3 linked regions of the Kluyveromyces lactis genome follow. The protein of the gene in region 2 interacts with the protein of the main gene of each other region in a biochemical or structural test. Links are inferred from orthologs where the notes say so. Each region holds a gene or a part of one and is shown on either strand. Other genes may lie near its edges. The genes, in order: CEF1, PRP19 and CWC2.

The links.
Region 1: the proteins of PRP19 (region 2) and CEF1 form a complex in vitro, tested with the Saccharomyces cerevisiae proteins (2 studies listed by BioGRID, with this or other methods). The link is inferred for Kluyveromyces lactis from reciprocal best matches to the Saccharomyces cerevisiae genes PRP19 and CEF1.
Region 3: the proteins of PRP19 (region 2) and CWC2 form a complex in vitro, tested with the Saccharomyces cerevisiae proteins (3 studies listed by BioGRID, with this or other methods). The link is inferred for Kluyveromyces lactis from reciprocal best matches to the Saccharomyces cerevisiae genes PRP19 and CWC2.

Annotation. Positions count from the first base shown.
Region 1 is NC_006039.1:634,827-638,432, forward strand, and holds CEF1 (Cef1p), read right to left. Parts: upstream 2,157-3,606; coding exon 525-2,156; downstream 1-524. Other genes in the region: CAF20 (Caf20p), read right to left, coding at 1-312; EFR3 (Efr3p), read left to right, coding at 2,803-3,606. UniProt on the Saccharomyces cerevisiae protein: Involved in pre-mRNA splicing and cell cycle control.
Region 2 is NC_006040.1:326,928-330,489, reverse strand, and holds PRP19 (E3 ubiquitin-protein ligase PRP19), read right to left. Parts: upstream 2,133-3,562; coding exon 657-2,132; downstream 1-656. Other genes in the region: KLLA0_D03905g (glutathione peroxidase), read left to right, coding at 1-362; OCA5 (Oca5p), read right to left, coding at 2,517-3,562. UniProt on the Saccharomyces cerevisiae protein: Probable ubiquitin-protein ligase involved in pre-mRNA splicing.
Region 3 is NC_006039.1:1,336,741-1,339,638, reverse strand, and holds CWC2 (active spliceosome conformation promoter CWC2), read right to left. Parts: upstream 1,656-2,898; coding exon 642-1,655; downstream 1-641. Other genes in the region: mRNA splicing protein PRP28, read left to right, coding at 1-200; snoRNA-binding protein NHP2, read left to right, coding at 2,613-2,898. UniProt on the Saccharomyces cerevisiae protein: Involved in the first step of pre-mRNA splicing. Required for cell growth and cell cycle control. Plays a role in the levels of the U1, U4, U5 and U6 snRNAs and the maintenance of the U4/U6 snRNA complex.

The sequences.
Region 1 (3,606 bases), on a different chromosome or scaffold from region 2:
CAATGTTTCTTGAGCGATGACAATGGTTGGTTCTTCTTCTTCAGCCACAGACTTTCTTCTGACCGCTGGAGCAGTTTCTAGTGTAGACCATCCTTCCTCATCGGTAGTAATTTTTGGTTTCAAATGCTTGAATTTTGGTTTAGCATGGTGGTGAGAAGATCTTCTTCTGAAGTGAGAAAATTCTTCTTCATGTGCTTCTTGGATTTCTTTCACTTTTTCAATTATAGCGTTGAATTCATCAACGTCGAAGTTTGGTTTAACTGGTTCGGTTGGTCTTAATTGTAAAAGTTCTTCTTCTGTGTACCTGATCATCGTGGCCCGGGAATTAGTATTTGCTTTGTGATGGCTTCGAAAGAGTTCCAGTAGAAATAAAGGGGAGAATTGTTATGTCCACACAGAGCAATTGCTAACTGTCTCATATTGTTCTTAAAGTTTGCAATTTCGTAAATCTTTTCATCTTTAAGTTCATAATTTGAAAATTTCATGATTATGGAAGGAAGACTCAAAAAGAAGGGTCCGGGTAATCATTGACTACGCTGGGCAAGTTTGATCTGTTCCGCAAGAGATTGTGTCTCTTCTTGCATAGTCTTATGGTCGTTCCTGTACTTCATGTAGTCAGTGTAGTATTGGTATGCTAAGCCTGACACTGTCGGATGTAGTTTTTCTTCAAAATCTTGTGAAAGTTGTGAAACAGCCTCTCTGTGAGACTTGACGGAATCCTCAAGCGCTGTTCGCAGTTCATGCACTTTTCGTTCCATGCCGAGCAGTTCGTGCTCCGTAGCCGGTGTTATAGTTTTTAAGCTAGTTTCCAACTTGGGATGTAAGACAGTGCTGGGCACTTCGGTGGTGGATGCAGAATTAATGATCTCTTCTAAGTAATTGTTTACTTCCGTGGAATTGTAAATGGGGTTACCATTCTCCTTTGCTGAGATTATACGATTCAATTCACGGTCAATTTCATTCTTTGGATCTACTATCGGACTGGGTACCTGTAATTCTGTTTTTATTTGGAATACTGTCGGTATGTATTCCATTATTTCCATTGCCTTGTTTTCCGATTGATGTTCCGTGGAAGATATTAAGGCTTCTAGGGGATATTTACCATTAACATACGAACTTTCAGTATTAAAAGCATCAGTGGATTCCATTTCTTCATCTAAATCATCCAATACAATTTCAAAATCGTTCTTAGGAGAAGGCAATGATTCAAATAAATGAAGTATAGATGTTGTTTTGTTTATCTTCCGTTTTGATCCTTTTAAAGTAGCAGGAGTAAGCTCAAGTTTAGGTTTCTTGTACTCATCAGTTAGTACAGAATCTAATTTTGTTACTGATGACGTTATTTGTTCGCCTTGCCTTCTCTTTTGTGGTATGGTTTTCTTTTCATCAGATTTCCTGTCAAGTAAACCTTTCCTTTCTACCAATTTCTCAAAACTCTTGAGTAGCTTCTCAGTCTGTTCATCCTCCTTTGAGGTATCGTATATACCCGGTAGTGGTTGCTGTTCATACGCAATATCCTCGTTGTAATCCATCTGCGAAGAATATTTCTTCCTGGGAGCTTTGATTTTACTATCAACGCCCGCTTGTTTCAACTCTCTACGCTTCTGTAAGAATGCAACACGCTTACTTTCTTCTAGCATACGTTCTCTTATCTTACGAGTAGCCTTTTTACCCTGAGTGTTTAATAGCCTGGCACGAGCTTCCGCCAACATTTCTCTCTCCTCGTCAAGTAGCTCATCTTTATCAGCCTTGGCTGGTAAGCTTTCGTTATTTGGGTTGATCTCACCGATCTGTACCCCTGTAGTTGCTGCAAGCTCTAAATCATCCTTATCAATCGCCAGGAGGATATTATATCTGTCGATACATGTTTGAGCAGGTCTACCCATCATTTCTCCGATGCTTTTCCATTGGTTTGGAATTCTTTTCGCTAAATCTAGTAGTTTATCATCTTCCTGCTGGCTGAATGGTTTGAAGTTTAGACTGGGATTCAAAAATTCATTCCAACGAGATTGACATTGCCTGGCATTCTTCTTCTGTAGAAGCGAAGCTACTTTACTCCATGCATGTGTTCCATATTTTTGAACAGCCGCCTTTAATATTTGATCCTCAAGGTTCGTCCAAATACCACCTTTGACATAAATCGGAACAGGAGCCATCGTACGTGGTTACCGCCTTTGATTAACTTCCCTTTGAACCAACGTTACAGCTTTAGCTGATACTATTATTAATTAGTTTCCTATGTTTCCACCAAGTATATGTCAATTTTATTTTCAATCCAATCCCAAAATTGGATTATCTAGATTTACACAGTGTTATAAAGAAATAAAACAATGTCAGCGAATAAAGAGGGAACTGTATCCGAACACATAGTTTACATATTGCTTTACTCGCAAGAGCATAGGTACCTTTTTCGTATTATTTCAGCAATGCTGGATACTGGTTTCTTTTGTGACTTCCTCCAGTCAGTACTTCGGTCTTTAAACTACCTATATTTTATTAGAATACAACAAACTCTGAAATTCTTTCAGAAAACACATGACAGATAATGAGAAAGTATATGTTGTTCTTCTCTTATTAAATAATGATCATCATTAACATTATTATGTTCTTTTTCAGCTATAGTTTTTCTAGTTCCCTTGTTTATATAATGATTGGCTCTCTATTACGCAATAAAAACTGGAAAAGGGTTTTTTGTTCGAAGACATTTTTTAAACTTAGAAATTGCATACTATATTGAAATCGCCAACACTATTGATGGTTCGACGATAAAACCCATCCAAAAGACTCCAACGATCCGTGTCAATGGGCTTTCTCTTCACCCCTAAGCACCAGAAATTGGTGAATCAGTGTTATCCACCAGGCCGAACTCCCGATAAGAAGCCAAAAGGGTCAGAGACTTCGTACTTGTTATATTATGTTAATTCGAGACGTCCAAAATTGGAAAAGGTCAGCAGTTACCTTGTGAAGAGGTCGACAACGGATTTGAACAGAAGACGTTCCGGTAATGTCTCTGTCACTCTAGAGCTACTGGCTAAAATCGTCGAGAATTGTAATGAAAACATGAATATTTTCATCAAAGATTTCATCCACATTATGACTTTAGTGTTGAACAACAACAATTTTAACAATGATCCAACTATTGTTGGTTTGATTGAAAGAGTTTTAGAAGCTATTTGTAACCATTTGGATGGGTCTCTTGTAAGTGGGGACTCTGAGTTTTTAGAATTGTTCAAAAACTTCGTAACCCTGTACTTCAAAGTTGCTAACACTAAACTTAATGACACAGATTTGGTTTTGAAAGGTTGCTTAGACTTTTCAAAGATCTCAAACTTGGGAAGCATTCACCAATGGTCTGCTACAGCCAAAAACTGCGTTTCTATTGCATTAACGAAGTTCCAAGAAAGGCATCCAATATATAGTGAGGCTACCATTGACTCTTCATTTTCTGAACCAGGTTCTCCAGCGTTGAAGAAGAAACTCACTAGAACACAAACTAAAGTGATGGGTCTAGATGATGTTTCGAACACAGGGGATTATTCAATTCTGGCTTTGAATACTTTTTTCAATACCACAGAAACAGATAAGTTGACAATCGGTTTACATGCA
Region 2 (3,562 bases):
TGTACAAAGAATTCCATGCAAAAGGGTTTGAAATATTAGCATTCCCCTGCAATCAGTTCATGAACCAGGAACCTGGTTCCGATGAAGAAATAGGAAAATTTTGCCAGGAGCACTACGGTGTCAGTTTTAAAATAATGAAGAAGTGTAAAGTGAATGGTGTCAATGCTCTTCCGCTATATAAGTACTTGAAAGATCAACAACCGCGAATGTTTGGGTTCACGTTCGTTAGATGGAATTTTGAGAAGTTTTTGATCGATCGCTCAGGGAGAGTCCATGGACGGTATTCCACGTTGACGAAACCGAAAAGTATGAAGGAAGACATCGAACAATTACTAAAACAAAAAAGCCAACTACAATCATGACTAGCAGATGGTAAAGAAGAGTTCTTCGGGGTAATCCCTTTTTCATATTCTGTAATGCCATCTTCTTTCCCGTTTATTCACTTGCAAGAAAAACACAAACACAGTTCGATATTTAAAGAGCATGATTTTCACTTCTTTTTACGATGAAATCACGTACATATATGGGGGCGAGTTCATACATGTTCATTTTTCGACGTATTATCGGATCATATATTTAACGACTCTCACCATCAAATCAGTGATTATTCTAATAATTACAATTTTTATACCTTATTTAGGACAAGTATCATATATCTACTTCAACTCATATGTTATGCATTTATTCTCCGAGATGACGTTCAAGAAATATCCTTGATCTATTTTTACCAATGTCATGGATTCTGCTGTATTTGTTTCGATCGGAAGAGTAGATTTTTCGACAAATGACTGTCCCTTAACATACTCATACCATTGTACTTGTGAATTACCCATGCTTACGAAAAAACCTTTAGCTGTATCGTCCAACTCCACACTGATGATATTCTCAGCGAAAGAAAGTGGTTCCATTGCCAAGGTGCCTGGATCCTTTCTTAAATCGTAAACATTCAAGTCAGAATCACCAAAGACAAACATCCAATAACCGTTCAAACCAAAGTCTACTCTTTTAGCTGGGAAGCCAGTTGAAAATTTAATCGGATCTTTTGTAGCAGCCAATAGGTTTATTACATATACACCTTCGTTTTGGTTACCAATAGCAAGAAGAGCTCCATCTTTATGATAATTCACAAATTGAACGGAATCGTTCAATTTAACTTGTGAGATGGTGAACAGTGCTTTTTTGGTAACTTCATACCCATATATTGTACCTCTTTCAGTTACGAATAAGAAGTAAGAATCCGATATTTGATGAGGATAAGCCATAAATATCACTGGCCCATCAGTTCCTTCCAAAACTTCTTCATACAACAAAGACTTTGTATGAAGGTCATACGCTGCTAATAGTCCCTGGGTGAAGGTGTATAGAACGTCTTTAAACTCCACCAGATATTCTGTGGCTTGTGACACATCAAGAATAGAATCTTGAGGTCCAAACACAAAAGCTTTGTCATTATCTTTTACAACAACAGATCTTTCATTAAGATTGACATGCTGATTTCTGCTAATCAAATCAATTTCAGAGAAATCTGTCGATTGAACGACTGAAACGTTGGAGAAGTGTTGTAGCTTTTTCTTAGACTTTTTGGAATTTGTCACGTACTCTTGAGATTTCGTCGATAATTCTGAAGTAAAGTCTGATAGAATTTGGTCTGAGTTCTGGAGTTTATCAATAGTTCCATCATTTTCGACATTCGAGGAAGTTATTGCCGATGTAAGTTCTGCTAATTCTTGCTTCAGCTGATCTCGCTCTACAAAAGCTTTTGCTGCCGCTGATGCAACAGCGTCAAACCTGTAAAGTGTATCACTGAGATTCTTTTTACAAACGTCTAACTGCTTCCTTAATTCGAAATTCTCGAGCATTACTGCATCCCATTCTTTCTGCAAAGTTGACAATAGACTTGGAATGCTATAGTTGTTTGCGATAGTAGACGAGCTCAATGATTCTGAAAGTGATATCTGCTGTGGAGTCGCATTGATTTCAACCAAATCTGTTTTTTGTAATGGATCATCCGTTATGGGATCTGTTCCTTTCTGTTCAATATACTGTTCGATTAGATGCTGTTCAAATATACATTTGGAATTAGGTGAAAGAACAGCTTTTATAGGTGGTTTCCCACTAATTGCACAGAACATAATTAGCGTACCTCAATTTAGCCAGTCCTTAAGTAGTTTCACCAGAAGTAAGCCCCAAGGTTCTCCTTTTTGAAGCCATTATCTAATTATGTATATCGGTGCTTCATCTTTCATGTAACATTTATGTTGGTTTTCTAATGTTAAATAAAAATGCTTTCGTTTCTCTTTTGAACATGCAAAAAAATACTGGATGAAGAAATGACTTTATTTAACAAATCAACTCACATCTTAGTTGGCTGGTTAGAACGCTCCAACAGGTTAGAATACAATCTGCAATATTCATAGAGCTCGAGATGTATATAGTATTTTTATATATATATATGCTAATTAAAGGAAAAGAAGATATACTACATACAAGAAAGACACAAATATAATGCTGATATATCATTCTTCTATGAATTCTTCCATTTCCTGCCAAGCCCAATTTCTCCAGATGTCTCCAGCCTGCTGGTAGATGTCATCAAACGAGTGTGCAGTCTTATCGTCAGTACCGACCTCTATCATCATATGATTTGAAGAACTTGGTCTAATTCCTGAAGCGTTGGATTCATCTGTGTCTGTCGAACTTCCACTAATGTCATCATCCTCGTACATCTTCTTGAAGTTGTAGTCATCGAATTTTGATATCAGTGGGACATTATTTAAGAACTCGGTGATCTCTGTTTCCTCAAACTCTAAAAGTTTAAATTCGTTATGTTGCATAATGGCAACATATATGAAAAGTAACTCCGCATGAGGGTTCAAGAGCGAATATGGAATCTCATTTTCTTGTGTTTCTGTAGTATGACCATCGTCCCCATATTTATTTCTTCGTATCAATTCCCGAATGACATCTTCATCTTGGTTCAATCCATTTTGACCGAGCCTTAACGACATCAAATCTGGGAACCAAAACTCATCATGTTCACATTTGCAAATCTTATGGAAAATCTCTGAACTCAGTTTCAATTCAGGTGGATAAATGCTTTCAAATGATTTATGGTTGTACTCGAGATAATAGTTGATTGATTCAGGACGTGGTCTCCATCCGAGCAACACATCCCATACTCTTCCTCTATCCTGACGATGCAACACTCTGCAACCACAACATTTGATCCACCAATACAACCAAGTAGCCTTCTTGGAACCTTGCAAAGCGCCTTCATCAGTGATGGGTTGATACAGTTCGGGTAACGTCTTGGCGAAAACCTTGAAGAACAATTGCGATTGTTGATTCAGATTCCCACTCTTAAGTAGGTGATAATTAGATTTATCAGGTTTTTCGTCTAATGCTGGAGCATGAAACAACACTAATACTAAACGCTCATAGATAGCGGCAAAATCAAACTCGGTATCAGGTAATTGATTCAGTAGTTCATCAGGAATTGGATATTCCTCATATAAATGTCTCAGACAAGAGTTATGATGATGGTGTTTCCGACCTGCCAAGA
Region 3 (2,898 bases), on a different chromosome or scaffold from region 2:
ATCGTGTAGGTAGAACTGGACGTGCTGGTAAAACTGGTACTGCACTTACTTTTCTAACCGAGGAGGAAGATCATTCTGCCATGGCTAAATTGTTCGATTATGTCAAAAAGAACGACTTCACCGGAGAAAATTACATCTCAAAAGAAGCTATGTCGAAATACAATGTTGACAAATCTTCATACAAACCAATTATTATATGAAAGGACTAGACTTTTTTCCTTGAAATTTTAGAGTCATGCAATATGAATTAGAGTATTTAACGTAAATAGTTACAGTGTGCTAGCTAATAATGCATTTAGGATTCCAGGTCAATCCTGGAAATACCCAATGGTCTGACGATTCATGCGTTCTTGTTTGAGCCTGTGCCTTGTCTTCCATTTTTTCGGATGTCTGATTCAAAATTATCGTGTTTTTTGATGAAGGCCAAACCGTAGACTGACGAAGTTCAAGTAAGTGAACTCGACAAAACAACTTCGACATAATTTGAAAACCAGGCATTGATAGCTTTTATATTCATTTCAAATATTTGCAATGTCAGTAAAACAAATCTGAAATCCGCTAGATGTTGTTCATGACGGCAACCAGTAATCCAAAATATACCTAATCTGGAAAAGTCAATGTGTCACATGACTTCACGAAATCTAGTCTTCATCAGATGAATATTGGGTTACCAAAGGTAAAACCGACGATGGTTTTGAAACTGTTATATTTGCAGCAACGTTGGTATTGGTAATAGTCACTTTCCTTTGTTTCAACTTATCTAAAATAGTCTTATCTATGATTGCATTCTCCCTAATGCTGAATCTTTCACGACTGTTCGCCTGCGAATCTCTCACTTCGTTGATTTCTTCAACTTTACGTTTTTGATTTACAGTGCCTTCAGTACTAGCCACTAGTTGTTTTATAGCTTTCAAAGTCTCTTGGGTTTGTTCTTCCAATTCTCTCTTTCGTACAGCTGGATTAGGATCCTCGTTCGCCCATTTCACAAGCAACCCAGTTCCCTCCTTCCTTAGATCCCACTCTTTATCGGTTGGTATTAATAGAGTCTGATTGCCCATTGCTTCCTTAGTAAATTCGGAGTTACACTGTAATTTGAACTTGACAAAGGCACAATTCTTACTCTCCACGTATCGAACAGAATCCAATTCTCCAAGTTTCCCGAACTTGTATTTCACTCTATTCTCAATCTGATGTGGTTTCAAAGTTTTGTTGTTGAGTGCCCCTGTAATACCACCCACGTATAAGACACGGTTAGGTTTCTTGAAGGAACCTACCCCACCCATATCATCTCTATAATCAGCAAATTTCTCTCTTCCAAAACAATCTAACGCAGAGGAATGCAAAGCTAACCTCGCAAAATCATCTGGCTCTGGAATATGATGCAAGTACCGACAATTTTTGCCTAAACAGCACATTCCCTTAGCGAAATACAAACAGAAATGAATCCGACCCTCTTTATCACCTTTAGTGATACCAGAATCGTTCTCGGGATCAAGCGAGTACGGTGTGACGAACCTAGTGGACCCACTTTGCCCCTGTGACCATTTGTTGTACCATACGTTGAAAGCCAAACCCGTCTGAGGCGGTACTGATGAAGGTAGGTCAGACTCCTGTAACTGAACCCTTGCTGGTCGGTTCTTCCAATCCCCAGTCATAATATATTGATGACGATGACCTTAATATTTGGCAATTTGCCAAACCAAGTATTCTTTAATGACCTCGAACAAGCAAACAGTTTGAACCGTCCAATTTATGCAACAACAGATACCGTATTATAACGGTGAAAACTGTATCTTGTCGAGCACACATCTTCCATGTTCATCTCATCGCAGGCCAAAGTGTTTTCAATAAACTTCAAGGTTGGAACTTTTCTTTAGTGAAAACGATCATGATCAAAAACAAAATGGAAACGAAAAAAAGATAAGTCTCCCGGGGGCGAGTCGAACGCCCGATCTCCAGATTACAAATTGCTTTGTGTTTTCAAATTACAGTCTGGCGCCTTAAACCAACTTGGCTACCGAGAGAAGTTACTTGTGTGTTGTAATTTTCAATGATGCTATAACCAAACTTCAAGGTTTACTAAGACTACATTGCCTGACATTAAGAGGTATATGGAGTATTTAAACCTTTTAAAGTATTTAATTATACAAGTGAAGTGATCACAGGACAATAATGCCCTGCACCTGGAACAGCTAATTTCTCCTACAGAGTTTAATCATTGTACATATTGTTCGCCATTTAAAACTCCAAGTTTTGTATGAAATTAAAGGGACTCATCCAGAATAATGTTAGGCGATGGACATTTCTACAACTGCTATGTACCACCTCCGAAACAAGACGCTGGCACGATATTCTGAAAAGTTGTTTATGTGTCGCATGGATTAATTTATGTCGTCCCTACTGTAATTGATACTTTATTTCTTTTTCATGTTACTCGGTACTGGAAAATTTTCATTTTTTGTTAACAAAAAGAAGAGCGATGAGTATGAGAATTGAACTGTTGAATGAATCGATGAACCTATCTTGCTGATGTGATATTGATTCCTTTCTCAATCAATTGCTCGCTCTATTTGAACCAGGGGAACAGTGAAGAACTATACATAATAACAAAGATGGCCAAGGATAAGAGTGTATCAACAGAAGACAACTACGAAGCTAGACTTCCTGCCGTTCTACCATTTGCAAAACCTCTAGCATCAAAGAAACTGAACAAAAAGGTGTTAAAGACCGTCAAGAAGGCTTCCAAGGCTAAGAATGTCAAAAGAGGTGTCAAAGAGGTTGTCAAGGCTTTGAGAAAGGGTGATAAAGGGTTAGTAGTCATTGCTGGTGATATTTTCCCACAAGATGTTATTTCTCACTTGCCAGTTTTGTGTGAAGACCAATCTGTTCCATATATCT